4 linked regions of the Arabidopsis thaliana genome follow. The protein of the gene in region 1 interacts with the protein of each later gene in a pairwise test. Each region holds a gene or a part of one and is shown in the gene's direction. Other genes may lie near its edges.

Region 1 (7,704 bases):
CTCACGTAACATAATGTTGTAAGTTTCACTTTCATCATCAACGAAATTTCTTATTTGTTCTGTTGCAAAAGGCCTGATGACTTTATGCAATTTAGTATCCGATTTCGTGGAGAGATACGATGCTTCGTATAGAGTGATGATACTTGTTATATTGTCACTCTTGAACGTATTACTTTCGATTTTGTCGATGATTACATCAAATATATCTGAAATGCATGGTCTTTTTAGTTACATATGATATTTATACAGTGAAACTAATTTATAGAATTTTTTCATTTCGTTTTTACCGAGTGTGAAAATACTAACCTTCTGAGACACCAAAACCATGTTGTCTAAGAAGTCGGAATTCGAGTGCGGTTGCATGTAAATCTTCTTCCTTGTCACATTTCCAAATATTTTTTCCATTTTCAAGATGAAAATTTGTCAAAATGTTATTTATTTCTTGCTCAAAATGATACGAAACCCCAAGCTTTTGTAAATCATCGATGAGCTCTAATTTCTCGAGACGGCTCTTCGTCTCTACTTCCTCTAGCATCTTCTTCACCTTTTTCTTCAACACATGTCTAGTTATCACTTCTTTTTCATTCTGTATCCATCATATTATAACTAATTAGTAAGTCATCTTTAATACTAGCTACTAAGAGATATTTTAGAGAAAGAAAATCAGATTTATGATCTAATAGCATATATAAATCATTTTTGTTAAATATTTAATACATTAGTTATCTTAATACCTTTAACAAAAAAGTATAACCAAATGTTCTTATATATATATATATATATATATATATATCTATGTATGAAATGTATACTAACCAGAGTTCATGAGAAAAATAGTCTGTCAGATAATATTGATCCAATAAAACCATGCACATGTCAGTTTTCCCAAAATATTTACATGTGTAGTAACAACTTTTGTAATTAAAAACGTCACCAAATGAAACGTTAATAATGACGAATACTTTACCACATATTTGTTCTCGATGGAGAGGAGATAACTATGGTCCCATGAAGAAGGTTGATAGTTGCCCGAGCGTCGACGGAGGTCAAGAGGATTAGCATCCGGCATCGTTTTTGTCATGGATTTGGATATGAAACGACGAGGACGTTGAAGACGAAAATTATGGATACATGCATTTTGGTAAATAGGAGCTGAACCTATACACAAAGTAGCCATTGAATTAGTATAAGATTCTCTTCTTTCTGGCTGAATATATTGGAGAACACATACGTTTATAACTTTATATAGACAGAGTCAGAATGATGACTTAGAACACTATTTCGGTACATGATTTTGTTTCTGTTTTTTTTTTTTTTCAATAGGTTGTCCAATTTGGTTTAACTTGAAGTTTATTTTTGTGTATGTGCCAACTACAATATCTTATTTACCAAATTTATTTCTATTTTCACCATATAAAATTATAAATCATAGTCAATTATTTAAAGATATCTATTATTATATCTTTATTTACAAGATTACCAGATAAATAGTTATTTTTCAAGTATATTCAATTAAATAGTGTGACAAACTTTACCCAATTTTGCTGCATGTCAATACTCTTTTCGCAATGTCTAATATCCACTTTTTGTAACTGAAATTTATCTAATTAAAATCTTCTACATGATTAAATATAGAAGTTATAAAAACTGCGTACAAAGATTAAGTGATGGAGACAGTTCAAGTTTGATTACAAGACAGTTCAATCTGATGGCTATGAGTTTTGTTGGCAGACATGCCAAAAAAAATTAGGTTGTCGTCGATTTCATTTGTTCTTTAGGAGAAAAACATTGATAATCGAAGAAAAAAAGTTTGTAACTCCGTTTTAATGATTCAAATAACTTATATGTGTAGAGGATTTTGAAAAAACAATTTCCATATTATTTTAATACGAATTTACGTGTTGGTTTTTAAATGTTGTAGAGAGATATAATTAAATAATATAGAAGTAAACTTATTTGATTCAACTTAATAAAAAAAGTTAGTTTGAAAAAAAGGTTATGTGATTCTCTTGTTTTGTGATCGTAATGTACACAAAACGGTTTAAGTATTTTTGCAAACAATATCTATGATTGATGAGATATATCAGTGATTAACTAATAAAAGTGAGAAAAAGAACAATATTTGGATTCACAGTTCACACATAATGGTTTAATTCTTTTATTAATTTTTTTTTTTTTTCTAAACAACCAGAATCATACTTCAATCAATTCAAAAACTCTTTTCAATTTACTCATTTCAGAACTATGTTATCCTATTGTAAAAAATATAGTTCTAATGTATACTCAATAAGCCGTATGAAGGAAAATTATAGGCTTTATTCTCAAAATCACGCTATTGTATTTTTAAATTTGATAAAATTCATCAAAAAAAATTTAACAATATAGTCTACGCTACTGTGTTTTATATTTGATAAAATTCATCAAAAATTTTAGCAAAAATGAAAAGCAAACAAATAAAAACTAACTAACTTACTTTCATCCCAATGTAGTAGAAATTCATGACATATGAAGAATCATTAAAGACCTTTTAGATCCCTTTGAATTTGGCAGGAATTCGAAGCCACATCGTACATTTGATATCTCCAATATATCACGAATCGTCTAGTTTTTTTGTGGATTAGTTTGGATATGTCTTGTTAGGATATGTATTATCTTTTCCTTTTTCAATAAACCCTACTGAATCTAGGGTTATGATTCCACAAAAAGATCTATAAGTTTTTTCTACTCCAAAGACAATTGGTTTTGGCTCATGGGATTCTTCCCATTAGAGAGTATCATATGTATTCTGAAGTGAGTAAACAACTTTAGAAGATGGCAAACAATTTTAATGTATTGAAAAACAATATTTAATCGCTTTAACCATTTTTTGTTTCTCCAAACGAGTTTTTATTTTTGCGCTAACTAATAAAAACTTATTTAGATGAACAATGAATCTTAATATTGCTATATTAAAAACCATTAAAAGAATACATACGTATAAAAGAAATATCTCTTATATTATAAGCATGTGATATTTTTGTACAGACCATAACAACATAAATAATTATATAGAATCCCAAGAAATTGGATTACACGTATACACATTACATACAACAGAAATTTAAATGTATCTCGATACATTTTTATTTTTTTAAAAGGTATAATTTCTTCAATAATTTACATATAGAGAAATAAGTCAGTTCTCTTTGTATTTGGTTCTTTCTTGATTGAATGAATACAAGTATTTTGCACACAAAAAAAAAAGAGAAATAACGTAGAAGAAATAAATTATGTTTTGGTCCACACTTAAATTATATGATAAGATATTCTAATGAGATTAGAAAACTATCTACATGAATAAATCATACGTTCCACAATAATTAAATGAAAATAAATAATAAAATTAACCAAAATAGTTGAAATTGAATCTTGCCTACATGATTCAATGTTCTTTTAATTTTGAATTTATTTATTTATTTAACTAAGCCTCTAGATATAAAGCAAAGTTATATAACCATGATTTTGGGGTTGTTAAAAGAAGTTGACGAAAATTGAGGAATGTCGAATAATAATGATGAAAAAGATATTTGGCTTAGCACCCATAATAATGATGTGACTATCCAATTTCAGTGTCTCACCGAAACGGCGTTTTATAAGGCCGTGGGCCAATGGCCTGTTTAAAGCCAACTGTAATGTGTAATTCGATTCAATTAAAACGACGTCGTTGCTTTCAAATTTAGATAACCAATACGCTGCCGTTTTAGCAAGTCTCTCTCAGATAAATAAAAAAAATTCTCCGACTAAACGGTGGATAATGCAGTGAAGGGACGACGATGATTCTGATAACCTCACCGACGTTGACATATCTCCGTCACCGTCTCCACAGTTCCCAAATCAAATCGCCACAAATTCGCCGCCATTTTCTTCGGAGTAGAGAAATCTCCACAGTCGATCGCTGCTACAATCCATGGCAGTCTACGAATCGTTTCAAATTACGAACACGAGACAGTTCCTTCTTATGCTGTGCTCGCCGGAAACCGGAGACGGCGACGGTAGAGGTTGAAGATGATTCTATAAGGAGAATTGTTCGGTATCTTCTATGGACTAGTGAAGCTGTGTATATACTATGGCTCTTTCTTCTCCCTTACGCTCCTGTGAGTGATAATACCTTCAAAAATTCGTATTCATAGTTCCTGAGATTGAGACATTGATATATCTGTGTGAATGTTTCTAAGGTTTATGTAGAATCACCACATTGATTAATCTTGAAAGTATTTAGGATAATTTTAGGAATTGAGAACCATTTCAATTTCTCTGCTTGAATGTTTTGAGAATCTAGTAGGTTTGTTCTTTTTGAATCATACTCATAGTTCCTGATATAGCCATAGTTCTATGTGGCTACTAATTTATCTATGGATTATGTGAATGTTTGGAAGGTTTATGTAGCATCACATTGATGAATCTTCAAAAGTAATTTGGATTTTGGATGATTTTAGGAATGAGAACTTTTTCAATTTCTCTGCTTGAATGCTTTGAGAATCGAATAGTTTTGTTGTTATCTTCAACTTATTACTGAGATTTGCTCTTCTCTCTATAGATTATCATGATATGTGCTTGTGGTTAGCATTATCTTAGATTGTGTAATCTTGTATGGTTGCTTAATTAGAAAATAATCTCTATGATCAACAGGGAGATCCAGTTTGGGCAATTAGTTCAGAGACAGTGAATTCTCTTTTGGGACTTTCTCTGAATTTCTTCTTTGTCTTGCCTCTTACAAACGCCGGTATGTTCAGCCTTAAGATATATCGATTTCGTTTACCTGTTTGATCTTTGATGAAAGTTTCTTGCTTATGGACTTTGTGACAGAACAGCTGGTATTCACTTCTTACAAGCTCCTGTTCTTCACCCGGTTTGTACCTTTGAGCTGAACAGGTTTTTGTGTATTAGTGAAAGTAAATCGTTCTGAAATTGTTTTTTTTTTTTTAAATTCAACAGATGGCTGAAGGGTTATTCAACTTTGTAATAGCTTGGACACTCATGTTTGCTCCATTGCTATACACAGACCGAAAGAGAAATCGATACAAAAGCTCTCTTGACGTCTTATGGAGTCTCATGATGTTCCTTACAAACAGTAAATACAACTTTAGTTTTTATTTAAGAAGTTCAGTTTCTCTGGAAAGCAACCCTCTAAACTAGATTATTGGTTCTGTTGATCTCATGTTGCAAACAGCGTTTCTAATCCCATACATGGCTTTACGGCTCAATGACGCTGACCCAGATGATAAACCAAGCAAAAGGTCTCAACTTGGTGAAGTGATGACCAAAGGTGCACCAATAGTTGGTCTGACCGGAGCTACGGTGTGTCTGATATCAGCATTGTGGTCTCTCTACGGTCGAGCAGATGGTGATTTCGGTGGAATCATGGACAGATGGCAGTATCTGATTGGTTATTTGGGATCGGAGAGACTAGCTTACGCGTTTATATGGGATATATGTCTGTACACAATCTTTCAGCCATGGTTGATTGGAGAGAACCTGCAAAATGTGAAGAAGAACAAGATTGAATTGGTGAAGTATCTAAGGTTTGTTCCTGTTTTTGGTTTACTTGCATATCATTTGTTTCTCAATCTCGAAGATGAATCAATTTAATTTGTTAGTATACACACATATTGTCGTTGTACTTATAACAAATGTAATTATATTATGGAAATTTTGTTATGTCATTTTTAGAAAATTCTATCATTTGTATCGGTAATGTTTTTTCCACATTTGAATTTATATTTCACGAAGGAATAGTGAAAACTCTATAAAATTGGTAAATTGCAAGAAATGAATCGCAAAAGTAAAGTCCTGACCGAAACAGCATAAACGTCGTGGGCCAAAAGGCCCGTTAAAGCCCATTTAAGAAGGGTATGGTTCCAATTAAATAAAGACGTCGTCGTTTGCTCTCAATAAAGAAAAGAGACATTTCGCCATTAGATCCTCTTTTTTTTCTTCGTAGGTCGAACGAAATTTTGTGTTTCGTTGAGGAGAAAATTGAGCCGTGTTTGTGTTGAGGTAAGACCCAATTTCCGATTTGATTGTTGGTCTGTTTATCTTTTGATAGAAATGGTAATTTAGATTCGCCTAATTGATCATCTCCTGAGAATTGGGCTCTGGAAATTGATTTTACGATCTCGTTATAATTATGCTGTAATTTTGTTGTTGGTGTTGTTGAAGATGTCTATGATCGATGAGCCGTTGTACCCAATCGCCGTACTTATAGACGAGTTAAAAAACGATGATATTCAGCTAAGATTGAATTCCATCAGAAGGCTTTCTACGATCGCTCGTGCTCTTGGGGAAGAGAGGACTAGAAAGGAATTGATCCCTTTCCTTAGCGAAAACAATGACGATGATGATGAGGTTTTATTAGCAATGGCTGAAGAATTGGGTGTGTTTATTCCTTATGTTGGTGGTGTTGAGTATGCACATGTTCTTCTTCCACCTTTGGAAACTCTTTCGACTGTCGAAGAAACTTGTGTTAGGGAGAAAGCTGTTGAGTCGCTTTGTAGAGTTGGCTCTCAGATGAGGGAGAGTGACTTGGTTGATCATTTCATTTCGTTAGTTAAGCGACTTGCCGCTGGTGAGTGGTTCACAGCTAGAGTATCGGCTTGCGGTGTTTTCCATATTGCATACCCGAGCGCGCCGGATATGTTGAAGACTGAGTTAAGATCGTTGTATACTCAGCTTTGTCAGGATGATATGCCGATGGTAAGGAGAGCTGCAGCAACTAATCTTGGGAAATTTGCTGCTACGGTTGAATCAGCGCATTTGAAGACCGACGTTATGTCCATGTTTGAGGATCTTACTCAAGATGGTATTGAACACTGAGCGTTTATTTACTCTACAGCATATATATTTGTCGAATTTCATCTTACGTTTTTTTCATATCAGATCAAGATTCTGTTAGATTATTGGCCGTTGAGGGTTGTGCTGCTCTTGGGAAATTGTTGGAGCCTCAGGATTGTGTCCAACACATTCTTCCCGTGATTGTTAATTTCTCGCAGGTGATTATGTCTGTAGGCTTTTATGCTGATGATCTACATTTAAAAGAAATGCTTAATCTTTGTACTTTTTCACTGAGCAGGATAAGTCTTGGCGTGTGCGCTATATGGTTGCAAATCAACTCTACGAGCTTTGTGAAGCCGTGGGACCTGAGCCTACTAGGTAAGAACGTTTTGCATAAACCTAATGCAGCATGTTTTAATACCTTTGATGGGCTAATTTAATGTTCAATATAGAAATGCATATCATCCAATAGGCTTAAGGAACTTGATGATCCCATTTACTTCCTCTTGATACTATTTACTGTGTCTTCTATTTTAAGGACGGAGCTGGTGCCTGCATATGTGCGCCTACTTCGTGATAATGAAGCTGAAGTACGCATAGCAGCTGCCGGAAAAGTTACAAAGTTTTGTCGGATTCTAAACCCTGAAATTGCTATCCAGCACATTCTCCCCTGTGTGAAGGTACATGCTTAAGAGAATTCAATTGTTTTCCAAGTTCCTTACAGAAAATCAACGTATAGTTGTTGCATATTACTGATGATTCCTCTTAATGCTACCTGTAGGAGCTATCATCAGACTCTTCTCAGCATGTCAGATCTGCATTGGCCTCAGTTATAATGGGAATGGCTCCAGTCTTGGGTAAGGTAAGAGAGTTTGCAAACAGAGATGTGTTGGT
Region 2 (6,782 bases), on another chromosome or scaffold:
TAATGCAATCATGTAATGAAGAGAAATAGTGGTGGTGGCTTCGGAGAATCAACCAATCAATATATATGACCCTTTCATGTTTTTATATTTATATTTTTAGACTTGTTTCATATTCATCATAAATATATATAGATATGTAATTATTTATCATAAAATCATAATATACATATTAAAAAACGGATCAACCAGACTAACCCTTAAATTAGAATCAGAATAAAATTAGAAAGAAAACAAAAAATGACCCGTGAACTAAAAAAAAAACGAATCGACCTTATATGTATATGTCATCCGTTAAACTCGTGCATAGACCAAGCCGGGATGGATCAATCTGACTGACACCTACTAGTAGTTGGTGCCGATAAGGATGGACCAATTCGAGTTTTCAAAAGTTATATATGTCGTTCTTCAACTTTCTTTCCGCATTTTTTCTTGTCTTTTTATATAATATGAATGTAAATATTAATGTCATGTCATTATCTGTTGTTAAAGAGAAATAGTACATACATAACACATAGCATATAAAACAAAATGAAAATGAAAAGGTTTAACTGTAAAAGGGACAATATAAACGTAGGAGTTTTTTTTGTGGAAAAAAAAACATCTATGTAAAATTGTCAAGTGGATCAAAATCAAATATTAAGTTCGATCATCTATGTAAAATTGTTGAATATTTGTTTGAGTCTCTATAAAGTATAAACATCTTAGGTGAAAAAAATATCTCGTTGTTTTTATAATTTTTGAAACTTAATTTGAAAAAAATATCTATCTATTACGCAAATAATTAGTAATAACTAATCCGCGACTGAAAGAATCAATGTATATGTTTATAAAATAAAGCAATTGACGACACTAGCTATATACATGATTAGAGAATTCAATTCACACTAGTTGTTTGATTTTAAAAAGTTAGGAGTTTTCATCTTGTCACGTTTCCTTCATATATAGCATGAACTCGGCCACGTACGTCCACATCTATCTTGTTCGTTTGTCTAACTTACGAAATCAATATTAATTAGAAATCCACATATAGAATATAAATTGAAAATGAATTTGAAAACGTATAATGGGACAAATAAGTAGTCTATTCTAAAATGATAAAAAGCTCTGAACAAGTGATGATGTTAGGCTTAGTTTCTGACATTGGAGCAAAATCGATAATTAGACAAACGAATATGTCGACAAAATATATATACAAATGAAGTTGAGAAAGAAAAGACAACCGAAGTTGTCTTTTTCGACGAGTCTGGTTTATCCTCAAAGTTGTTCAGTACTGTTACTTTTAAGGAAAATAATCGTGGTTTGGTCTTCTAAATTGATTTTTCTTTTAATATCATATGTGGAAAAACTTCTATTACACCAAAAAATGTTGTTGAGTTCAAAATAGATATGATGTATCGGTAAAGAAAGACTGAACCGATATTTACACAATTCTCGGTTGTAAAAAGAGATTGAGATCGTCCACTTTAACGTAAGTATTAGGGGTGGGCGCAAGGCTAGTACTTGCTATTTTAGGGATACTTGTTACTCGACTTGCCTTGTACGAGTAATCAAATAAGTAATTGTATTTGGTTTATTGAAAACGAGTACTTACAATTTCAAGTATTTGCTAAAATATGATTGCCTTGCGAGTTACTTGCCTTGTCCTGTTACTTGCTACTTGCGAGTTACTTACATGTACTTACGAGTTACTACTTGATATTCACGAGTTATTTACAAGTATTTACGAGTTATTACTTGCTACTTGCGAATTACTTGCAAATAAATTACTTGCAAGTAACACTTTCGAATTACTTAAAATTACTTATTATTTTATTTATCATATTTTTTACTTATTTAAAATTTACTTTACTTCTAATATAGTTTTAAAATGTGTCTAACACTAAAACAATACAATATATGTATAGAAAATGGTAAAATAATGACGAGTATCGAGTCAAACGAGTCGAGTATTAGTTTTTTTTCATTACTTGTTACTTGATTTGTACTTGCAAGTATCTAAATTATACTACTTGTTACTTGCCTTGTTAAAAACGAGCATTTGTTTTTTCAAGGCGAATACGAATCAAGTAGCGAATATAAGACGAGTAACGAGTACTTATGTCTAGCCCTAATAAATATATATGTGTTTTTTCAATAACTATAACAAAAATAATCGATTAACTCTTTTGTGCTCAAGTTACTATGTAAAAATTGGTATGAACAACATTAGATACGCATCATGATAATGTTTGTTTAGTGGATAAAAAATCGATTAACAATAAAAAAAAATAGAGAGAGGCATGAAAACGAAAATAAGGAAAAGAAAAAGACTATTCGTTTGGTGTGGTCGACCTGTCCCACACCGAGGAAATCACACTTTTATGACAAGACCTACTTGTCCGTACTATATAACATTATCGAATGATTCCGATTTTCTCTTTCCTTTTTTTTTTCTTTAATACGGAAATTACTAATTAAAAATTAAAAAGCGACCAGACGACAATTCAAGAAGCAAACAAAATTGGTGGTACCGAAACAATAAATCTTTTTTATTTATTTCTAAACAATTATTAATTTATTGAAAATTTCACGAAGAAATGAAACAGAAAGTTTTTCTTGGTCCCACTTAGACGTGGCCTCAATCTTCACATCATGGCCCCACACGCTTCTCACGTGCAACTTAACCAGTTACGACAAAACAAAATTAAGAAACATATTAACTTTAGAAATGTATTTACAATGGTTAAATTATTGTTTTGTGCCATTTCGTTTAATACAATGCACCGCTACATGATCTTAAGATAGCTCACGGAAAATTTAGAAAAGTAAATCACAAGTCCCAAATATGCCACGGTGGAAGATGACATGGCAGATATAAAGCGGAGCTTTGCCACATTGAATAAAATTACGAGAGTAACTTTATAGTTTGTAAAATTAAAATCATGGGAATGGTTTAAATTTTAAATAAAATAAAACTGAAGAAATGAAGAGTATGCATATTTAATACTATCTTTTGATATGAAATTTAATTACAGTAATCACAAAATAAGGAAAAGTTAATAAGAAAAATATGGGTTGACTAAAGAGAGGTTAATTTGGAATCTTTTTACAGAAGAGAATACAGTGAACTAACATAAAAATTTTATTAGGAAAGACAGCTTTACACATTTTTAAAAATGCATTTAAGGAAAAAACAGCTTTGCACCTTTTTTTATAGGATTTGCATCTTTAAATTTTAGAAATAATACAAAAAAGGATGGACAAGAACATAAAATCTAATAGTTTTTTCAACAAAAGAAAAAATCGAATAGTTTATGCTAATATCATTAACATATTAGCAAAAAAAAATTTATTGATTTTATAATGGCTCTTTGACTAGTCAAGCTTGCATATGTTTATGTGGATGTTGCTAAGGAAACATGCATGAGTGCATCAATAAATAAGAAAGAAATATTACAAAAAAAAAACTTTTTACACGTCCCAATATTTGCAAACTTCAAGAAAGATAGTATATATTGTTGAATAAAAACTTAGTATATTTTATATTTCTCTAGATTATATTCCTTTTAAGTTCATAAAATTGGTTGTTTCTTTTTCTTTTTCCTTTTACAAAAATCAACTGTATTTTACTAACATTTAATTTACAAAAACTTTAATTACTAAACACAATTGGTAATATACCATGAAAGTCAATATCTAATTTGAATTCATAATTATTCTAAATATCTAAAATATTTAAATAGTAAAAGTAATAAATATGTATTTATAGAAAATTAAAAAAATATTGACTTTTTTCTCTCCCTTAAATAAAAGCCAATCCCATAGATTTCTTCACCAGTCGCCACAACTCCTCCCTCTTCTCTCTCTCTTTGTTTCAGAATCTCTAGGAGCTTTTTTCAACAACAATGGCTGTTCAAGCTCATCACATGAACATTTTCTCTCAGTTTATATCACCAAACAGGTAAAAATCTCATTTTTATATTCTTCTCACAAACAAACTTCCTCTGTTTTTATTTTCCTCTAATCTTTTTTATTTTTGTTATTTGCAGAGATTGTGTTAAATTTCAAGAAAACATGAACCACGGCGAGTTTGAGTTTACCGGCGGTGAAGTTCCGTTAATAACCGGAGAATCTTTCGCCGTTGAGCCTTTAGCTGCGAAAGCCAACTTCAACAAAGCAGAAAGTGGTCTCAGTTACAATTTCACTGTTCCTCCTCTGTCTACAAAACGCCAGCGAGATTTTCAATTCTCAGACTCAAACGCTCCGGTTAAACGGAGGTCCGTAGCGTTTGACTCATCATCACCGTCGTTGATAAACGTTGAACTCGTATCTCAGATTCAAAACCAACAACAGTCAGAGATCGATAGGTTCGTAGCTCAGCAAACGGAGAAGCTAAGAATAGAGATTGAAGCAAGGCAACAAACGCAAACGCGGATGTTAGCGTCTGCGGTTCAAAACGTTATAGCCAAGAAACTAAAAGAGAAAGACGATGAAATCGTACGGATTCGAAACCTAAACTGGGTTTTACAAGAGAGGGTGAAGAGTCTTTACGTCGAAAATCAGATTTGGCGTGATATCGCTCAAACCAACGAAGCAAACGCTAATACTCTTCGAACAAACCTAGACCAAGTTCTTGCTCAACTCGAAACGTTTCCAACCGCTTCAGCCGTTGTAGAAGACGATGCGGAATCGAGTTGTGGAAGTTGTTGCGGTGATGGTGGTGGTGAAGCGGTAACGGCGGTTGGTGGTGGTTGTAAACGGTGCGGTGAGAGAGAAGCGAGTGTGTTGGTGTTACCATGTCGTCATTTGTGTTTGTGTACGGTTTGTGGTGGTTCGGCTTTGTTACGGACTTGTCCGGTTTGCGATATGGTCATGAACGCTAGTGTGCATGTTAACATGTCTTCTTGACCATCTTTTTTTTTTGTTCGTTACAATTTAATTTATATTTTTTTTGTTTCCTTAGGATTATATTCGCAAAAGAAATAGCAAATTGATTCTTTTCTTTTTGTAAGTACATATAAATTAGTTTTTGGTTAACTCTTGATTTTCTTACGACTTAAATGGAATCCAAGACTGAAAATTGCAAAAAAGAAAGACGAAATAATTTGTCGAAGAGAATTTAAAGGCTCCTCCTCTCATTATGTGTGGGAAAAAAAGAAAGAATAAATCATATAAATGAATTTAAAGTGATTCGAAAATGTTTTGAAAAGTAAATATTCCAGAGTTCTTTTTAAGTTGCACCGTTGTTTGGTTGCTTATTCTCAAAGTCGATCACATGAGTTTGAATTATCTACCACCTTTTAAAGATTATCATAGCGTCGATATAAATTGAAAAAGGTATAAAAATGGTCTATGGATATATACTATTGCAATTTGGAAGTATCCTTTATCTTTCCAACCCCGCAACTATATTCAACCAGAAGAATCATACTTCGCTATCGAAACTAAAATAAATTATGATAAAAGAAAAAGAAATAGTCTGAATTCGATTGTCTCAACGACATTTTCAGTTCATAGTCATTATAGTTGTCGTGTAATAAATATTTCATATTCGGATCATGTCATGTGCAGTGCATGTCTAGACAAAATAAAATACCCCCACTAAAATGGATTTTTAAAATTATATCCTATATTAATTCTATAAACGACGAAATTAGAACGATGAATACGATGTGTGAATTCACGAGTTACGATGATTGCGTCCAAGAAACGTTACCATGTCTCTATCCAATAATTTAGTTTAATTTATGTCTTAGAATTATTTGGATCAAATGGCACGAAACGAAATAGTGGCGAAAATGAAAATGGTACGACTCTGCGATGATTCGTACAGAAATTAATTAAAGAGAGAGTTTGAATTCACATTTTTCCATGTCTTCGTTCTTACCCATACTTATTTTTTTCCTTTTGGCCATGCCCCTACATTACGTAGTTACTTACCCTCGCCCAAAGTTTTATGTTATATTCACCTAACCCTATCTTTTAATTTGTTTATACTTTATACGAGTTTGGACAAGGGAATAAGAAAAAATAAATTAGTTAGTGATTGTTGCAAAGATAATGTTTGTGACTAATTGGAGCTTTGTCTAAAAAATTTACTTCCAACAATTCATAAGTATATTTGGATTGTATTCTTTTTTTTTTTCTGATGCGAAATACTCTTATAATTTTAGATATCAGAAAAAATCATGGTTGTTATTATTTGTGGGGACTATAAAAATCTATAAAGCGTTTCTAAAGTCTTAGATATTATTTTAAAGGATAGTTATCGTTTATTTTAGAATAATATCAAACATTATCGTCGTACCATTACCAAACCTAGCATGAATTAGAAGATCCGATTATCCGAATAACAACCAAATACTAGAAGAAGTGATTCCGTAAAAGGGCTGGCTTCTCAAATGGGCTGTTCGGATACTTCCATACACTATCTATTATTTTTTGTCGGTCCATACACTATCTATTAGGCTTTAGATTTCTTAATTATTAGTACTCTAGATTTGAGAGATGGAAAAATATTACACGGCAAGATACCTTGGAGAGAAAAAAGGAACATAGGAATACTATGACATCGTGTGACCAATCCCATTACAAATCTACCACAAGACATGTATAATGTGATAGATTCCATAAGAAAAAAAAACTAGAAAGACAAGAGGAGGCAATCATACGAGAAGATCGATATTACAAAGCACCCGACAACAACATATCAAAAGAATCAGGTAAAACCAGTTTCAAAAATGATCACATACAGAATTTTCGGAAAATTGTGAAATTACTTTCGTAGCCATGAAGTTAATGGC
Region 3 (6,777 bases), on another chromosome or scaffold:
GATTTAAGATACGATGTTATGTTGGTTTTCTCCAGGAAGGTGAAGTGAATGAGTTTCAGACAAAACTGAAAGAAGCTACTTGGTCATCTCATCTCTTCCGGATTAGTGTTTCTCAGCAAGAGTATAACAGTGAGAAGAGACAGAGGATAACTGTAAGAGGTGTTTCTCCAATTGACTTTGCTGCTGAAACAAGATTATTGCTCCAAGACATTTCCAAGAACAAGACATCTCAGTAATTCTAACTTTTAGCATGTTTTGTCTGGTTTTGTCAAAGAGTCCCAAAGTTGTGAGTTTTTCTGCAGTCGGTTATAGTAGTTCATGTCATTAGAGAATTGACTTTTAAATCTTTGTAAGTGTTCCAACAATCAATTCAGAGAGCCATTTGGAAAAAGTAGAAGCAATATATTATGAAATCGAAGAAAATGGAAACATCCATGGGTTTGTAAAAAAAAATCCTAAGAGAACATAAACTAGCATAAGAAAGAAAAGAACAAATTCAATTGGAGAATCACTGTTGCTGAGGCAAAGGAGACTTCAATTCCTGGTAATTGTGTAGACTTCCAGTGAAATCAGTGAACAAACCATCAACACCGATCTTATTGAGCCAATAATCATACTCTAGGTAAGGGTCCTGATTAAACTCTAAATGCAGAAACTGGTTCTCATTACGGTATGTGTATGGATGGACCTAGCAAAAACATTATTCAACGTGAAGTTTAATGAAACAAATCAGTGATGATAGTAAGAGAGTGGAGACAGGAGTTCAAGTCCTACACACAAACCTGAAGATTACGCGAATGTGCTCTCGCAACTAAATCTGTTGGTGTCATGAGACGGTTATTGTTCACAGGAACAATTGTGTCTTTCCATGGACCAATCCCAATTACATATGGTTTAATGTAATCCAAATATGCGTCTGATGTGATCTCTGCGTAAGTCTGCATTCACATTCATTACCTTATGTATAAGCAATTTTGACATAATGAGAAAGGAAGAAAGTGAATATGTAAATACCTTATTAGTGTCTTCGGTAAGAATAGTGACATCGTCGATCAAAAACAATTTTGGTGAGTCTGTCATGTTTGAAATGTAAACTAGCGAAGTTGCTGCAAAAGACTGAATAAATATTGGCTGTTTTAACCAATCTTCAGACAGATATGAGCCTTTGTATCCATATTTCTTCAAAGTTTCCACAAATTTATCTTCAAATTTTTTACCATCCGCCCACTTCACCTGCACAAGTTTCCAAATACAATTTAACATCCTCTCCATTTGTTATCATCAATGACTAAAAGTTGAAGCTAAGATTTGATGGTTTGCTTACTTGCTGATTCATGAAAACCGGATTCTTGATCTCTGGATATATCCCAACCACTCTAGGTGCATCCAGTGCTATCGAAATATACTCGTCGAAGGTAATAATCGGGAATTTACCATTGTATTGTTGATCCCTGAAAGGATACCTCTGCTTTGCACCAAGTGTTTTCAGCTCTTTGAGAGTAAAATCAACTGTTCTTGGAATGTTCAATCTCATCGTCAAAATTTGAAAAAAATGAAACTATATCAAAACAAATGATAATGGAATGTTTTTAGTTACCAGTGAAGAAGCCGGTCATGTTCATTCCTTGGACTTCATAAGTCCTCTTACGGTCTGCAAACTCCTTATGGTCTGCAACATCGGTTGTATCATCGAGATTAACATCGTGGTGACATATAAGAACACCGTCTTTGGAAGACAAAATATCGGTTTCTATAAAATCTGCACCCTCCTCTATGGCCCTCTGCAATCAAAAAAACCTTGTGAAACCAGACAAAATTAGTGTAAAGGTAAGAGACTTTTGTATAGATCCAATACCATATATGCAGGAGCAGTTTCTTCAGGGAGCTCTCCGTTTGATCCTCTGTGTGCAAGGTTGTAAGGACGGGAAGTCTGAAGTGGTTTCTTGGTTGCATGTTTTGCTTCGCTTGGGAGACGATACAAAGGCCTTGAGGCACAATTAGCAACCAACAATGACAGTAAAAGCAATGGTAGAAGATCTGCAAAAATTATAACAAAAATTGCTTTAAACGAAGAATCAACTTAGACATAGAAACAATGGAGATTTGACACTTACACTTGAAGGCCATGACTGAATTTGAGCTAGAAAAATTCCTCCAACGACCACACTGCATGAATCCAACATTATATAGATAGACCTGCAACTTATCTTTAGAAGATTTAGCCAAAAAATCGTAACAACCCAATCAGCATTAAGAATATTCCTCTGAGAAATCTAGTATGCCAATAGAAGATAAACTCCGTGTTGTTTGAAAGTATATTCTTCTTCTATTCACTAGGTTTTAGTTTTACATTTTAAATGATCGCAGATATCATAAGGCAGTGTAGTTTTAGAACGAAGTGAAGTTGCAGATCCAGATTGTATTGCTATGTTCTAGTCTTTTGATCCTTTGTTAATTACAAAATGTACTTGCTTGTCGATCATGACAAGCCAAGTTTGTAAAACAATCTCTGGTTGAATGAAATTGTCGATGATAAAATGCAATCACGAAGCGGTTGTGAATGGAAAATTAACTCTTTTATAGCATCCCAAGACACAAATCAGAAACGAGTTCACACCAATTCTAGAGAAGAAAATACAAGAGTTTGAGAGAGTGAAAACTAAAGAGAGGCTCCTCCATTCTTCTCAAACTCCCATGATCCTCCATTCTTCTTCTCAAACTCCCATGAGATCCCCATAGCTACGCATGAGGACGACTCCTCCTGCAAACATACCAAGTGCTCGCAGAAGTTTCTGCAACCAAAAGGAATTCGTATGAGACAGATTTCGATCCAAATACTTCAAAGGCATGAACTATAATAAACCCTAAATCTCTAAGAGACCCAACATCCCCAAATTCCCATTCGAACATCCAAATACTTCAAAGGCATGAACTTAACTTGTGATTGATAAACCCTAAACCTCTAAGAGACCCAACATTCCCATTCGAACACACAATTTCATAAGAAGAAGACACAGAGATAAGATAAGGTCATCTGATTTGGCCTATCGAAGCATAGGAGAGAAAATCAATCCTACGTTAAATTCTGAAACCCAAAACGAACTCATTAAATTCAATTCCCATTCGAACACACAATTTCATAAGAAAGACAAAAGAATCACATTGTACGCTCAATTGAATCAATTTGTAAATCCTAAACCGTAATTCAAAATCGCTGTACAACTCATTAAATTCAGCCGAAAGCCCAGAATCTAATCATGAAACATACAAGAGAATCGAGACTTCGATATTCAATAGACAATCAAGTCGGAATTAAACGAAAGAGAGAATGTATGAAGGTTACCATGTTCACCGCCCATTTTTGTTCATCATGAACCTCGGAGTGCCAGAGTGCTTTCATCTTTTCGATAGAGACAACGTTGTTCACCATCTTGCTGCTGAAAAATCGAAACTTTTGATCGTCGAAAAAAGAAGAAGCTAGGGCTTTTAAAACGACGAATTGGGATCGGGAAATTTTAGTCGGTTAACTTATTAAGGGTTTACGTTTTGTTTAATTACCAAACTAACCTTTACTAATATACTAATAACCGGTAAAAAGTGATGTGATTTGGATTGATTTCAACCGGAGAAGAGTTAACCACTCGCCGAACGACACGTGTTCAACACAATCCTATTCCTCCTAGCAATCTCAAAGCTTGTGTGATCTACAAGCTCTTGGTTTCTCCATTGAAGAAAAAGCTTTGACAAAACCAGGGAAAGAGACAGAGAGAGATAATGGCGGCTAAACTAATCTGTTCGTCTTTAACAGTGCATTCAATGGCAAATAAGAAGCCATCACCTTCTGCTGCAACAAGAACAATAACCTCAAAGAAGGTAAAAGTTGAAAATCAAAATTTATCTTCTTATATGTCCCAAAATCTAATCTCTTTGTTATGTTTGGCAGAGCACAGCGACTCCACAGGTGAAACTGCTGACAAGAGTCGAGCAGCTCAAGCTTCTGACCAAAGCCGAGAAAGCAGGACTTTTGTCTTTAGCAGAGAAATCAGGTTTCTCTCTATCGACCATCGAGCGTCTTGGATTGCTGACCAAAGCAGAGGAGTTCGGCGTTTTGTCTGCCGCCACAAACCCGGAAACGCCTGGAACGTTATTCACTTTGAGCCTCGGTTTACTCCTTCTTGGACCGGTTTTTGCATATGTGGTTCCTGAAGATTACACTTGGGAAGTAGTGATTCAGGTTCTTGTGGCTCTACTCTCTGTTCTTGGTGGCTCTGCTGCTTTTGCTGCTTCTGGTTTTGTCTCCAATTTGCAGAAATCTGATTAGCCCGATCGTTTTTTTTTTGTATCAAATATATTTACCCGGTGTAGCAAGAGACTTTTCTGCATTTAAGATGAAAACTTTATAATGTATTTGATCTACATTGTATCAACCAGTCATTTTCACTATTTTCTATCTATGTAAATGGTTTCATATACAGAATCCAAGAGAAACGTTTTGAATTTCAATACGTTTACTTATTGTTTTTGTTATGTGCAACAAGAAGAAGTTGTCTGTCACAACAGAACATGAAGGGTTTGAATTTTCCAATAGACTAGACAAAACGTTACAGTATAATTAGCAAAAACAAGTTTTTTTCATCAACAGATCAACTAAAATTGTGGTATCCATTAGGTATAAATAAGAACAACATATATCTTTCTTTTTATCTGAAAACAAACCAAACTTAAACACTTATAAAAATCTAAAAGGACTAGTAACAATGGCCAGTTTGAAAGTTTTTTCTTTTGCTTTGATCCTTGTTCTCACTTTCTCAGTTGGTACGTCTTCTCTCTTATAACTAGGGGTATTTTCTCGAGTGTTTATAACACTAACAAACTTATTTTTGTGTTTCAATACAAACTTGTTACTTTAATTACAAAATTCCATGAACTCATATTAGGCAAAACTGTTTCAATTTTGTGTGATATTGGCAGATGTTGAAGGATATAATGTAGAGAGTGGTGGTTCCTTGTGTTGTAATAACCACCCGAAATTTGGAAAGTGCAACACAAACAATGACAATCAGAGATGTAACCGTTGGTGTCACAATGGATGCGGGAATGGAAAAGGCGATTACTGCAAAGCTATGTCTCACGGAGGACTATGTCATTGTTATTGTTAACTCACAATTAAAAAATTTATGCATGCGTTAATGCGTTTGTTTGATTACTAACATATGTATGAGTATGAAACTATGAATATCCCATGACTTCATAAGTAATAAGACCACAAAGCCAAAGAGTTTATTATATACTCTCAAAATCTCACCCAACTTGATGTCAGTTTCAATTTATAAAGGGCTTTTATAAAACCATGAATCATGTATTCTGTAACATTTTTATAATATAATATAATTGATTTGGTGTTAAAAAAAAAAAAAAATCTCATCACCACATAATCTCAATTTTTGTAACCAAACTAGTAGACTTGGATGTTAAATCTCGGTTTAAATGTTTGACCAATCCACTATCTCAGACCGGTGTAACCAAAGATGTGTAACAAACTCTGTGATGATGAGATTGTTAAGTAGGCCCAAAACTAAAATTGAATCCATACACATATTTCAAAAGAATAATATGTTATTTTGGGCCAACTATAATTGACAAGATATGTAACGATATTTGACTGGAAGTGTAACTATAAAACCTTAGGCCCAACTATAATGGATTCAAATTTTGTATTGGGCCTACTTTAACAATAATCTCATCATCACAGAATCTCAAAATCATTGACGACGTGACGTCTCTCTTCTCTCCGAGTTTTTGTAACCAAAGCAGTACACTGGGAGGTTATTTATCGGTTTAAAGTATTGAACCAATCCAATATATGAGACCGGTTTAATAATCCTTCGATTTCGATTCGAACTTTGGTTTCATCTCCCCAAATCGAAGCGAAGGTCTCTCAACAATGGCGAAATCAGTGTCGACGGCGGCTTCCTCGCTTGTGCAAAACCTTAGGCGGTACATCAAGAAGCCATGGCAGATCACCGGACCTTGCGCTCACCCAGAATACCTCGAAGCTGTTCCAAAGGCGACGGAGTATCGTCTCCGATGCCCCGCTACGATTGATGAAGAAGCAATCGTGCCTTCCTCGGATCCAGAGACCGTATACAACATCGTATACCACGGCAGAGATCAGCGCAGAAACCGCCCACCGATCCGGCGATACGTATTGACGAAGGACAACGTGGTTCAGATGATGAACGAGAAGAAGAGTTTTGACGTCTCGGACTTCCCTAAGGTTTACTTGACCACCACAGTCGAGGAGGATTTGGATACGCGTGGTGGAGGCTACGAGAAATAATCAGGTGATTATCAAATTTGAGTTTTTTTTTTCTTGTGTTCGGATTCATTTGATTATTGGATTATGAGCTGATGTAATCAGGTTTTGGACCTTGTGGTGGATATATTGATTTAGTTTCTTCGTAATGGCATTGGAATTTTCGACTTTAGTTTTAGGGTTCGTATCTAATCTCAAGGCTGACTAGATAACTGTGGGGAATTCTGGATTCTAGATTTGTTGCAGTTAAAGTTTCTTAATTGGAAAATGAATCTTGACTTCTGCAAGGTTGAAATTTTAGGCTTTAGTGTTTTCCCAAGTAATATAGCATGAGTGATGTTGTGATTACCGATTCGTGTAAGGCTCTAGGTGAATGCTTTTGAATTTAGGAATTAGGAATCAAGCTTTGTTATATGGCTAAGTGCATTATTGGCTTCTGGTTTGATTTCTAAAGTTGTACA
Region 4 (8,689 bases), on another chromosome or scaffold:
TTCAGCGACCAAGACATTTTGACATCAGGCTCAAACGGTCAAACCCACGAAAACTTTTACCTCATTTCTTAACCACGCAGTGTTATTTGAATAGCCTTAATAGGCTAATACAAAACAACAAGCCATCGATTACAGTTTTAACTATAATATTACAAAATCTTAAACCAAAACAAGAAAAGATATATATTCCGTAAAATTAAAATAATATTTTTAATATAGTCATTATGTAAGTTAGCTCTTTCGACAAAATCATTATAAATTAGGCCATTTTGTAAGTTAGTTCTTTTATCGACAAGCCATTATAACTTAGGTAATTTTGTAAGTTAGCTGGACTATAACCAATTTTTTTGTTTCACATCTAGAGTATAAAACACATATATATTGACCGTACAACTTTAGTCAAATTAGAAACTCTGTTTTATCTGCAGAAAAGAAAAAAAAAGAGGATGAATTATGTAAATACTTCAGGATTAGAAATAATGTCATCGTATATCTCTTGATATGAATACATATTTTACTTGACTAGTACCGTAGTCGGCAGGAAAATGACACAAACAACCATCTAAAAAGATAAAGTAAGAACTAAAAAGTCTTGACATTCATTAGTTTAATCATTTTCTGTTAACATATATGGAAAAAACAAACTTCACCGTTATTTACCTGAATTTACCTATTTGGGTAAGAATTGTACCTCTGGACCTCTAGTATTTTATATACACCTAAAAATATAATTTTGGTCGGGAAAATATAACTCTGTTTAATTAATTAAATTTTCAGTATTGTGTAAGTGTAATTATAGAAATCAATTTTATCCGCGTAACAAAATAATATAAAATTATACTTTCAAATCCACGAATATATATTGTGAAGTCTCATAGTTTGCAAATAAGCATTGGTCTTCGGCCGACAAAAAAAAAAGCATTGGTCTTCGAATATTTTGAATATCGGACCAATGGTATATAATTAATAATATGTGGTATATAAATACATATTTATTTAAATCACAATAGGATATGCAATGTGTGTATATATACATATACGTAATTAAAGTCCGGGTTAAACTGATAGCATATATTATAATAGATGCATCTATAATTGTTCGTCAACAAAAGCATTATCATGTATTTTGAATTAAGCTTCCTTCATTTCTGTGAATCAAAAGGCCTCAGAAGAAGAAACTAAAGTCAAACAATCAACGGGATCCAATAAATCACATCTGGACTATATAGTATCAATACTTTCCACACTAAAAAAGCTAAGAAATTTAATAAATACATTATTATAGGGGGGAAAAAAAGGTAGTCATCAGATATATATTTTGGTAAGAAAATATAGAAATGAATAATTTCACGTTTAACGAAGAGGAGATGACGTGTGTTCCTTCGAACCCGAGTTTTGTTCGTCTATAAATAGCACCTTCTCTTCTCCTTCTTCCTCACTTCCATCTTTTTAGCTTCACTATCTCTCTATAATCGGTTTTATCTTTCTCTAAGTCACAACCCAAAAAAACAAAGTAGAGAAGAATCTGTAAAGCTCAGGAGGGATAGCGCCATGATGATCACATTCGTTATCTATTTTTTGGCGCTATCCATCCTGAGTTTCATTGGCTCTTCTTACTACAATGAAAAAGGCCGAGGCAAAACGCCTAAAATCACTTGAGAATCAATTCTTTTTACTGTCCATTTAAGCTATCTTTTATAAACGTGTCTTATTTTCTATCTCTTTTGTTTAAACTAAGAAACTATAGTATTTTGTCTAAAACAAAACATGAAAGAACAGATTAGATCTCATCTTTAGTCTCTTTCTCCGGTGCAGTCAGCCACCGTCGGGTAAGTTTCATCTGTATTTTATTAATTAATTACAATTATTAGTGTTCTTATTACCGTTTTGGTAAAATTAGTTAATTAATGTCGGTCCAAACATTCTAAACCAATTATTCTGAAAAGGGTGAACGCCAATCAGTTATATACAATATTCTTACATTAAAGTAGAATCGGAGATGTTACATACTAACCAAAAGTTACATATACTAGTATCATTTTCTTTAAGATTTGTTTAGGATTTACTCACTTTATAGTGCTCGCGGTTGGGGTCAGGGTAAGTGGGGAACAGATATGCTCTGCATGAACCACGTGGACCAACATGCATATACACAGTTACATTTATTTTTTCTAGTAGGTTCATTTGCAAATTTTCCAGTATCTTGTATGTTATCTTCATGGTGAGTTTTTTGGTCGCATATTCTTGGTGATTCTTCTTCTACGTTTTCACTTTCTTCTTCAGAGACCTTATTAATATGTTAATTGCATGAATTTATGTAACATTCAAGAAAAAGAGATCGAATACAAGAAACCGGAAATTTAATTTCTAATTTGAATTCTATGCATGTTTGTTTCTTTGCCAATTTAGTACGAATATATTTATGGTCCGGAGTTCTAACCAAAGATAGTTGCTCTGTATATAGAAGTTATACATCTCGCTTGTTTAAACTAAATAACTATTTAGTTTGTCTTGGTAGTCCAGTGACTTTCTGCAAACATTGGGATTTATAATATAGTCAAAACGTTGGGATATGTAGTATTCATTTTCGTTGTAAAAATCATTATATTTTGCAAAGGTTGCAACGTAAAACGTTGTATTGAATTTAGGAGAAAGTAGCCATTTACAATGAATTTTAGTGACAAACTGTTGTATACAGCCTGTGCCACTAAGTATGTCTATATCTAAATTTGGAATGGATGATAACCAGTATTGGTCAATAATGGATAATTTGGTATTTAGAATTACTAATTTGGTATTTTAGTGACAAACTGTTGTATGGAATTTAGGAGAACGCGTTCCCAAGCTATATATTATATGTATTTCATTCTTTCATATGTTATATTATGAATTGTTATAAAAAAGACCAATGAGCAACGGTTTAAGGTTTAATCAGTAATCGATCCGACCAATCATATACAAGTTCCTAACACATCTTCTAACTACTGAGTAAAATAGTAATGCTATTACAAAGGTTTTTTCTTTTCAAAATACAGCCTAATGCTACTACAAAATTCTAATGTTATAAAATAATCATAGGAGAAGTAAACCCCGGTATTTAATTAATACCTTACAAACTTACATTATTGATAAAGTTGAATGAAGAGTTATATGGTCCATTTAGTATTATTTACTTAATATGATACTAGTGTTAGACGTGTTACTGTATTTCAACGTGCATAATCAGGTTGTTCAAAAAGAGAGAGGATAGGTCTTCTTCTTCTGTAATTTGCTGGGACCGCAAGTCATGTGAGGCTGCTCTGCTGATGCTGCACGGCGTCGCAACTCTCTCAATAAATTCTTTTAACTAACGCTCCAATTTTCGATGTAAATTGGCTGACTTCAATTCTATGCCTTACTCTTGTACTCTATGTTTCTTTATCTATTAAAATCCAACTCTGCTTTTGAACCCAAAAAACAAAACAAAAACCAACTCTGCTGAATCATGAAACACGTCCTTGATCTTTATTTTTATTTTTTCCCAATATATGCTCTTAAGAACTAGTTATTGCTTTTGAACCCAAAAAAAGAATTCTGAGTTTTAGGATATCAAATGATCTTACAACTTTCTATATCAAGATTCTTGAACACTAGATATGCGGATTTCAAATATACTCCCAAAAATCAAAATATGCGGACCTATAATCCAAATTTGGATCCATTCAAAAAACAACTAAACAAAATTTTAAGTGTATAAAAAAAATGCAAATCCAAGTCACAAGATAACTGGAGAAAGAGATATTTCTTTTGAGTTGTTGCTAAATTGAGAAAGTGAGTGATAATACACGAATCAAACTCATGACTTACATATGAGAGTCACGGCACAACAAAGAAAAAAGATGAAGCTATCTTAAAGATACAAAGTGTAACATTGGCAGAAAAAAAAACAAAAAACAAAGTAACAAACAAACAAGCTATTTAAAAGCCCAATAAAAAGCCCATTAAAGGCCCATCCATAAGGTACAGCTAGTTTAGACATGTGACCGTTTAATCAGTTAGTGAGTAGAGATAGATAAAAAGAGTGAACATCAACATGTGGCTCTCTTTCTTCCTCCTCCGCCGAGATTTTTCTCCGTCTCTCGTTCTCCGCAATGGCGGCGGTCGCTACCTCCTTCTGTTTCTCTCCCCATCGATCGCCGTCACGTTTTGGAAACCCTAATTCATCCATTCGAAGAACAATCGTCTGTAAATCATCTCCTCGCGATGAATCTCCAGCCGTCTCCACTTCTTCTCAGCGACCGGAAAAGCAGCAGAATCCTCTGACTTCACAGAATAAACCGGATCATGATCACAAACCGGATCCTGGGTTCGTACCTTAGCCTAATAATGCTTCTTCTGTATTCAACTTTGAATGGTTTCTAATGTATTTGATTTTTTTGGGTTTAGGATTGGTAAAATTGGAATGGAGATAATGTCAATTGCATTACCTGCTGCATTAGCTTTAGCTGCTGATCCTATAACATCTCTTGTCGACACTGCCTTCGTTGGCCATATTGGTAAATACTTACTTTTTGCTTGGTTTCAACAATTTCACATTTTTCGAAAGTTCACATTTTTAACATTCATATGTGTAATGTGACAGGTTCTGCGGAATTAGCTGCAGTAGGAGTGTCAGTTTCTGTATTCAATTTGGTGTCGAAGCTCTTCAATGTTCCTTTACTAAATGTCACAACATCGTTTGTTGCGGAGGAGCAAGCAATTGCTGCTAAGGATGATAATGATTCTATAGAAACAAGTATTTTACTTTCCTTAAAGCTTATAATGAAAAATGTTTTTATTGTTTTCTTCAAAGATTGTTTCTTTACTTTGAATCTGTTGTTTATTTGTTGGTGTTAAAGGCAAGAAAGTGCTGCCTTCGGTTTCAACTTCATTAGTTCTTGCTGCTGGAGTTGGTATTGCAGAGGCCATTGCGCTATCTCTCGGGTCTGATTTCTTGATGGATGTCATGGCTATACCTTTTGTAATGTCTCTAAGCTCACGTTGAACTTCTTTTATATAAGCTGTTATCTTTGAAGTTTTGTATAGCTGATCGCTCTTCTTTCTCGGTTTGTAATTTTTTTAGGATTCACCAATGCGGATACCAGCAGAGCAGTTCCTCAGACTTCGAGCGTATGGTGCACCACCAATTGTTGTTGCATTGGCTGCGCAAGGAGCTTTTCGAGGTTTCAAGGACACAACAACGCCTCTATATGCCGTTGGCAAGTATTGCACAATCATCTATTTTTTTTGTATTTATGCATGAATGGATCTGAGGAAATAAATAGTATATGCGCATTAGCTCACTAGACCGTATATATGCATTAGCAGTTTCACATACATGTTTCTAATATGGTGAACTCTATATCAACAGTTGCGGGGAATGTACTTAATGCGGTATTGGATCCAATCCTGATATTTGTCCTTGGTTTTGGTATCTCTGGTGCTGCGGCTGCTACTGTGATTTCTGAGTATGTCCAAAAATGTGGTAATAGACTCGTTTTCTAGTAAAGCATATCTATCTTAATTTGTGGCTTCTTATGTTTCTCACTTGTCAACGTTTCTTCAGATACTTGATTGCATTTATTCTTCTATGGAAGTTGAATGAGAATGTAGTTTTGCTCTCTCCTCAAATCAAAGTGGGAAGAGCCAACCAGTACCTCAAATCAGGTAATTCCTTAAAATTTTCAAGTTTTCTTTAAACGATTCAGAAAGGCTACTATATGAAATGTATTGATTCATGCTTAGGTGGGCTTCTCATTGGTAGAACGGTGGCTTTGCTTGTGCCATTCACATTAGCTACTTCGTTAGCAGCTCAAAATGGACCCACTCAAATGGCTGGCCATCAAATCGTCTTGGAAATCTGGTTGGCTGTCTCTTTACTCACCGATGCTTTAGCCATTGCTGCACAGGTCTAATATCTTTTGCAAATCATCTTCGAAACAGACAATCTCTACCAAGATTTACTGTGATATAAGAATCCCATTAGCATGATCCAAGATTACCTTTTGGGGAGAAGATTTTCACTTATATTTTCTACCTCTATTTTCAGAGTCTTCTTGCCACCACTTACTCTCAAGGAGAATACAAACAAGCCCGGGAAGTTCTCTTCGGAGTCCTTCAAGTTCGTATTCATAATTCATTACATCCCTAGTTTATATCCTACCCTATATATTCGATGTTATAATGTACAATTGCAATCTTTTAAGTAGGTAGGTTTAGCAACTGGAACTGGTTTGGCTGCTGTATTGTTCATCACTTTCGAACCATTTTCAAGCTTATTCACAACGGATTCAGAAGTTTTAAAGATTGCTTTGTCAGGGACCTTAGTAAGATCTTATCTTTTAATCCAGAAAGAGTTTGAAAAGGGTAGTCTCAGACAATATCTAAATAATGTTGGCTGGATGCAGTTTGTGGCTGGATCTCAACCGGTGAATGCTCTAGCGTTTGTTTTGGATGGGCTCTATTATGGTGTCTCTGACTTCGGATTTGCCGCTTATTCTATGGTCCCTTTTCCTTCTTCATCAATTGGTCGTTTGATTCTCCCTTTTCTTCACCTGGAAAAAGTTGATTATTTCTCATTTTGGAACAGGTGATTGTCGGATTCATATCTTCCTTGTTCATGCTTGTGGCTGCACCAACGTTTGGCCTTGCCGGGATCTGGACTGGTTTGTTCCTCTTCATGGCGTTGCGGTTGGTTGCTGGAGCCTGGAGGTAAACAATTAATTAAAAAGACCGTTCTAGTTTCAAGTTTTCAACCCATCCGAAATTTTTCTTAAAAGGATACTGCGTCATGTTTCAGATTGGGGACAAGAACCGGTCCATGGAAAATGCTATGGTCTGCTCCAGAGAAGCCAGAATGAAGCGGATCACTGTTTTTTGCGGTATGATGCGTGACTCTTAAGTTAAGATAAATGAAAATGGAGTAAACTAACAATGTAAAAAACATAGTCTCATAGTCATAGTATATTGATGCAGCATAAATCCTAAGCTAGAATCTGAAATACTCAAAATATGAATCGAATCCACCTCCCTGGTGATAACTGGAGCTTTGAGGTTCATTATACAACAATCCGTTATCCAATTTGAATCGATCATAGCTGTAACCTTCCTCTGATTTCACTGCTGGGTTCACTATTTCATTATCAGTCATAGGATTCTGAGTCTTGTCATGGCCAAGCTCAATAGCGTCTTCATTGTAGACTACATAGTCTTTTCCACCTTCCGTTTCAATCACGCCATTACCGGCTTTGTTAGTTTCCAACCAATAGCCTCCCGAACTTTCCGCCTCCTCGTCCTTCTTCCTTCCCCCACCCAAATCTTCCGGGAAATTTAACCTGGCATAGGGTCCGTACATGACACTAGCAGCTCTGTCGTAAGCCAAAGCAGCTTCAGCTGCAGTAGCAAACGTGCCAAGCCAAAGCCGTTTACTACGACTAGAGTTTGCACCACGGTGACTCACTGGTTCACGTATCTCAGCAACCCATTTCCCCCAAACCCTTTGTCGAACACCTCTAAACCGACAAACAGGATTCTCTGGTCCACCTTTTCCTCTCATACAACCTTTCTTCGAACCTTTGGCTTGAACCCTACGAGCTCTCGCCAATCCTTCTTCCTCCCATCTCTGTAACGTCGCTTCCACTGGCTCAACCACTCTTCTTCGTCTTCTCGAGGATACAACAGAAGCAGAGGAGCTCTGTTTCGATCCGTTATCTTCCTTTTCCATTGGAAAAACACAACACGTACAAACTGTAGAAAATATTACGGAGCGCAGTACAATCACTATTAAATTTCGAACATAAAACCAAACAATAAACTATAAATTTTTGTCTGCATAGATTGTCCTAGAATTCACCAGAGCCTTCAGAAATTAAGGTGGGAACACATGTCTAGATACCGTCTAAGAGAACACGCGTGGTGCTTACGACAATTAAATGTACGGCTACAAGACACGTGGTGACTTCCCAGTTTAGGCAGATTCTGGTATGCTAGGATTTGTTTTTCAATATGTTTTGGTCATTATAGATTTCTTTGCGGCTAAGACTTTGAAAATTATCGTAAATATCGTGAAGAAATAGATATTGTAAGTCTTGGGCACCAATCCACCTTAAATTGAAATTTTACTTTTTCAGTGTTTTTTTGGCTTACGGTGCAAGCCAGCAATTTGACATCTTCCACTTATTACTTTTCTGACAAACGTGTTTCTTTTTTTCTTTGTTTCAAACTATACTATAAAAATAAATTATTATTCCATGGTTACTTTTTTGAAGACGTTTAGTCCGAGACTTTTGGTACTCTCATTGGACTCTTCCCAGCTCAAATTGCGCGCCAACTAACAAACTGTAGCTTTTGCCTTCGCAAAGAACAATTTCTAAGTCACTGGCATTGACAAATCCCAAGTTCAAGGAGATTCTAGTTTCCGAGGTCAATACAACTTAGGATATTGCTTTGCTTTTGGTTATAGAGATATTTGCGACTAAGACTTTGTACTTTTTTGTAATTTACTAATTTTCGTTGATGGAAGATGTCAAATTGGTGACTTATACCGTAAGCTAAAACCCTTAAAAAGATAAGAATGTAAGGTGGATTGTCACCCAATACTATTAATTTTAGGTAAGTAACAAATCATTTTTAAAACGAAGCTTCCTTGTTGGCTTAGGGTATACGCCACCAA

Evidence for each region.
Region 2: the proteins of AT3G25805 (region 1) and RING interact in a protein complementation assay, tested with the Arabidopsis thaliana proteins (one large-scale study listed by BioGRID).
Region 3: the proteins of AT3G25805 (region 1) and AT5G08050 interact in a protein complementation assay, tested with the Arabidopsis thaliana proteins (one large-scale study listed by BioGRID).
Region 4: the proteins of AT3G25805 (region 1) and AT2G38330 interact in a protein complementation assay, tested with the Arabidopsis thaliana proteins (one large-scale study listed by BioGRID).

What each region holds. Positions count from the first base shown.
Region 1 is NC_003074.8:9,424,278-9,431,981, reverse strand, and holds AT3G25805 (uncharacterized protein), read left to right. Parts: upstream 1-3,704; 5' UTR 3,705-3,812; coding exon 3,813-4,133; intron 4,134-4,668; coding exon 4,669-4,762; intron 4,763-4,850; coding exon 4,851-4,888; intron 4,889-4,974; coding exon 4,975-5,110; intron 5,111-5,209; coding exon 5,210-5,628; 3' UTR 5,629-5,744; downstream 5,745-7,704. Other genes in the region: AT3G25810 (Terpenoid cyclases/Protein prenyltransferases superfamily protein), read right to left, coding at 1-206, 307-586, 968-1,177; PP2AA2 (protein phosphatase 2A subunit A2), read left to right, coding at 6,199-6,838, 6,916-7,028, 7,109-7,188, 7,349-7,490, 7,592-7,672.
Region 2 is NC_003075.7:10,711,738-10,718,519, reverse strand, and holds RING (SBP (S-ribonuclease binding protein) family protein), read left to right. Parts: upstream 1-3,774; 5' UTR 3,775-3,884; coding exon 3,885-3,940; intron 3,941-4,028; coding exon 4,029-4,887; 3' UTR 4,888-5,110; downstream 5,111-6,782.
Region 3 is NC_003076.8:2,574,644-2,581,420, forward strand, and holds AT5G08050 (wiskott-aldrich syndrome family protein, putative (DUF1118)), read left to right. Parts: upstream 1-3,567; 5' UTR 3,568-3,774; coding exon 3,775-3,873; intron 3,874-3,943; coding exon 3,944-4,321; 3' UTR 4,322-4,562; downstream 4,563-6,777. Other genes in the region: RPA70B (RPA70-kDa subunit B), read left to right, coding at 36-236; GDPD6 (PLC-like phosphodiesterases superfamily protein), read right to left, coding at 509-688, 783-938, 1,015-1,233, 1,325-1,509, 1,598-1,781, 1,856-2,037, 2,115-2,172; TOM5 (mitochondrial import receptor subunit TOM5-like protein), read right to left, coding at 2,715-2,792, 3,344-3,430; AT5G08055 (Defensin-like (DEFL) family protein), read left to right, coding at 4,758-4,815, 4,972-5,159; AT5G08060 (furry), read left to right, coding at 5,945-6,340.
Region 4 is NC_003071.7:16,060,441-16,069,129, forward strand, and holds AT2G38330 (MATE efflux family protein), read left to right. Parts: upstream 1-4,062; 5' UTR 4,063-4,130; coding exon 4,131-4,345; intron 4,346-4,425; coding exon 4,426-4,535; intron 4,536-4,621; coding exon 4,622-4,774; intron 4,775-4,877; coding exon 4,878-4,999; intron 5,000-5,101; coding exon 5,102-5,237; intron 5,238-5,389; coding exon 5,390-5,486; intron 5,487-5,584; coding exon 5,585-5,685; intron 5,686-5,763; coding exon 5,764-5,927; intron 5,928-6,067; coding exon 6,068-6,139; intron 6,140-6,227; coding exon 6,228-6,344; intron 6,345-6,425; coding exon 6,426-6,521; intron 6,522-6,607; coding exon 6,608-6,729; intron 6,730-6,817; coding exon 6,818-6,878; 3' UTR 6,879-6,997; downstream 6,998-8,689. Other genes in the region: DREB19 (Integrase-type DNA-binding superfamily protein), read right to left, coding at 7,007-7,741; AT2G38350 (uncharacterized protein), read left to right, coding at 7,901-7,951, 8,629-8,689.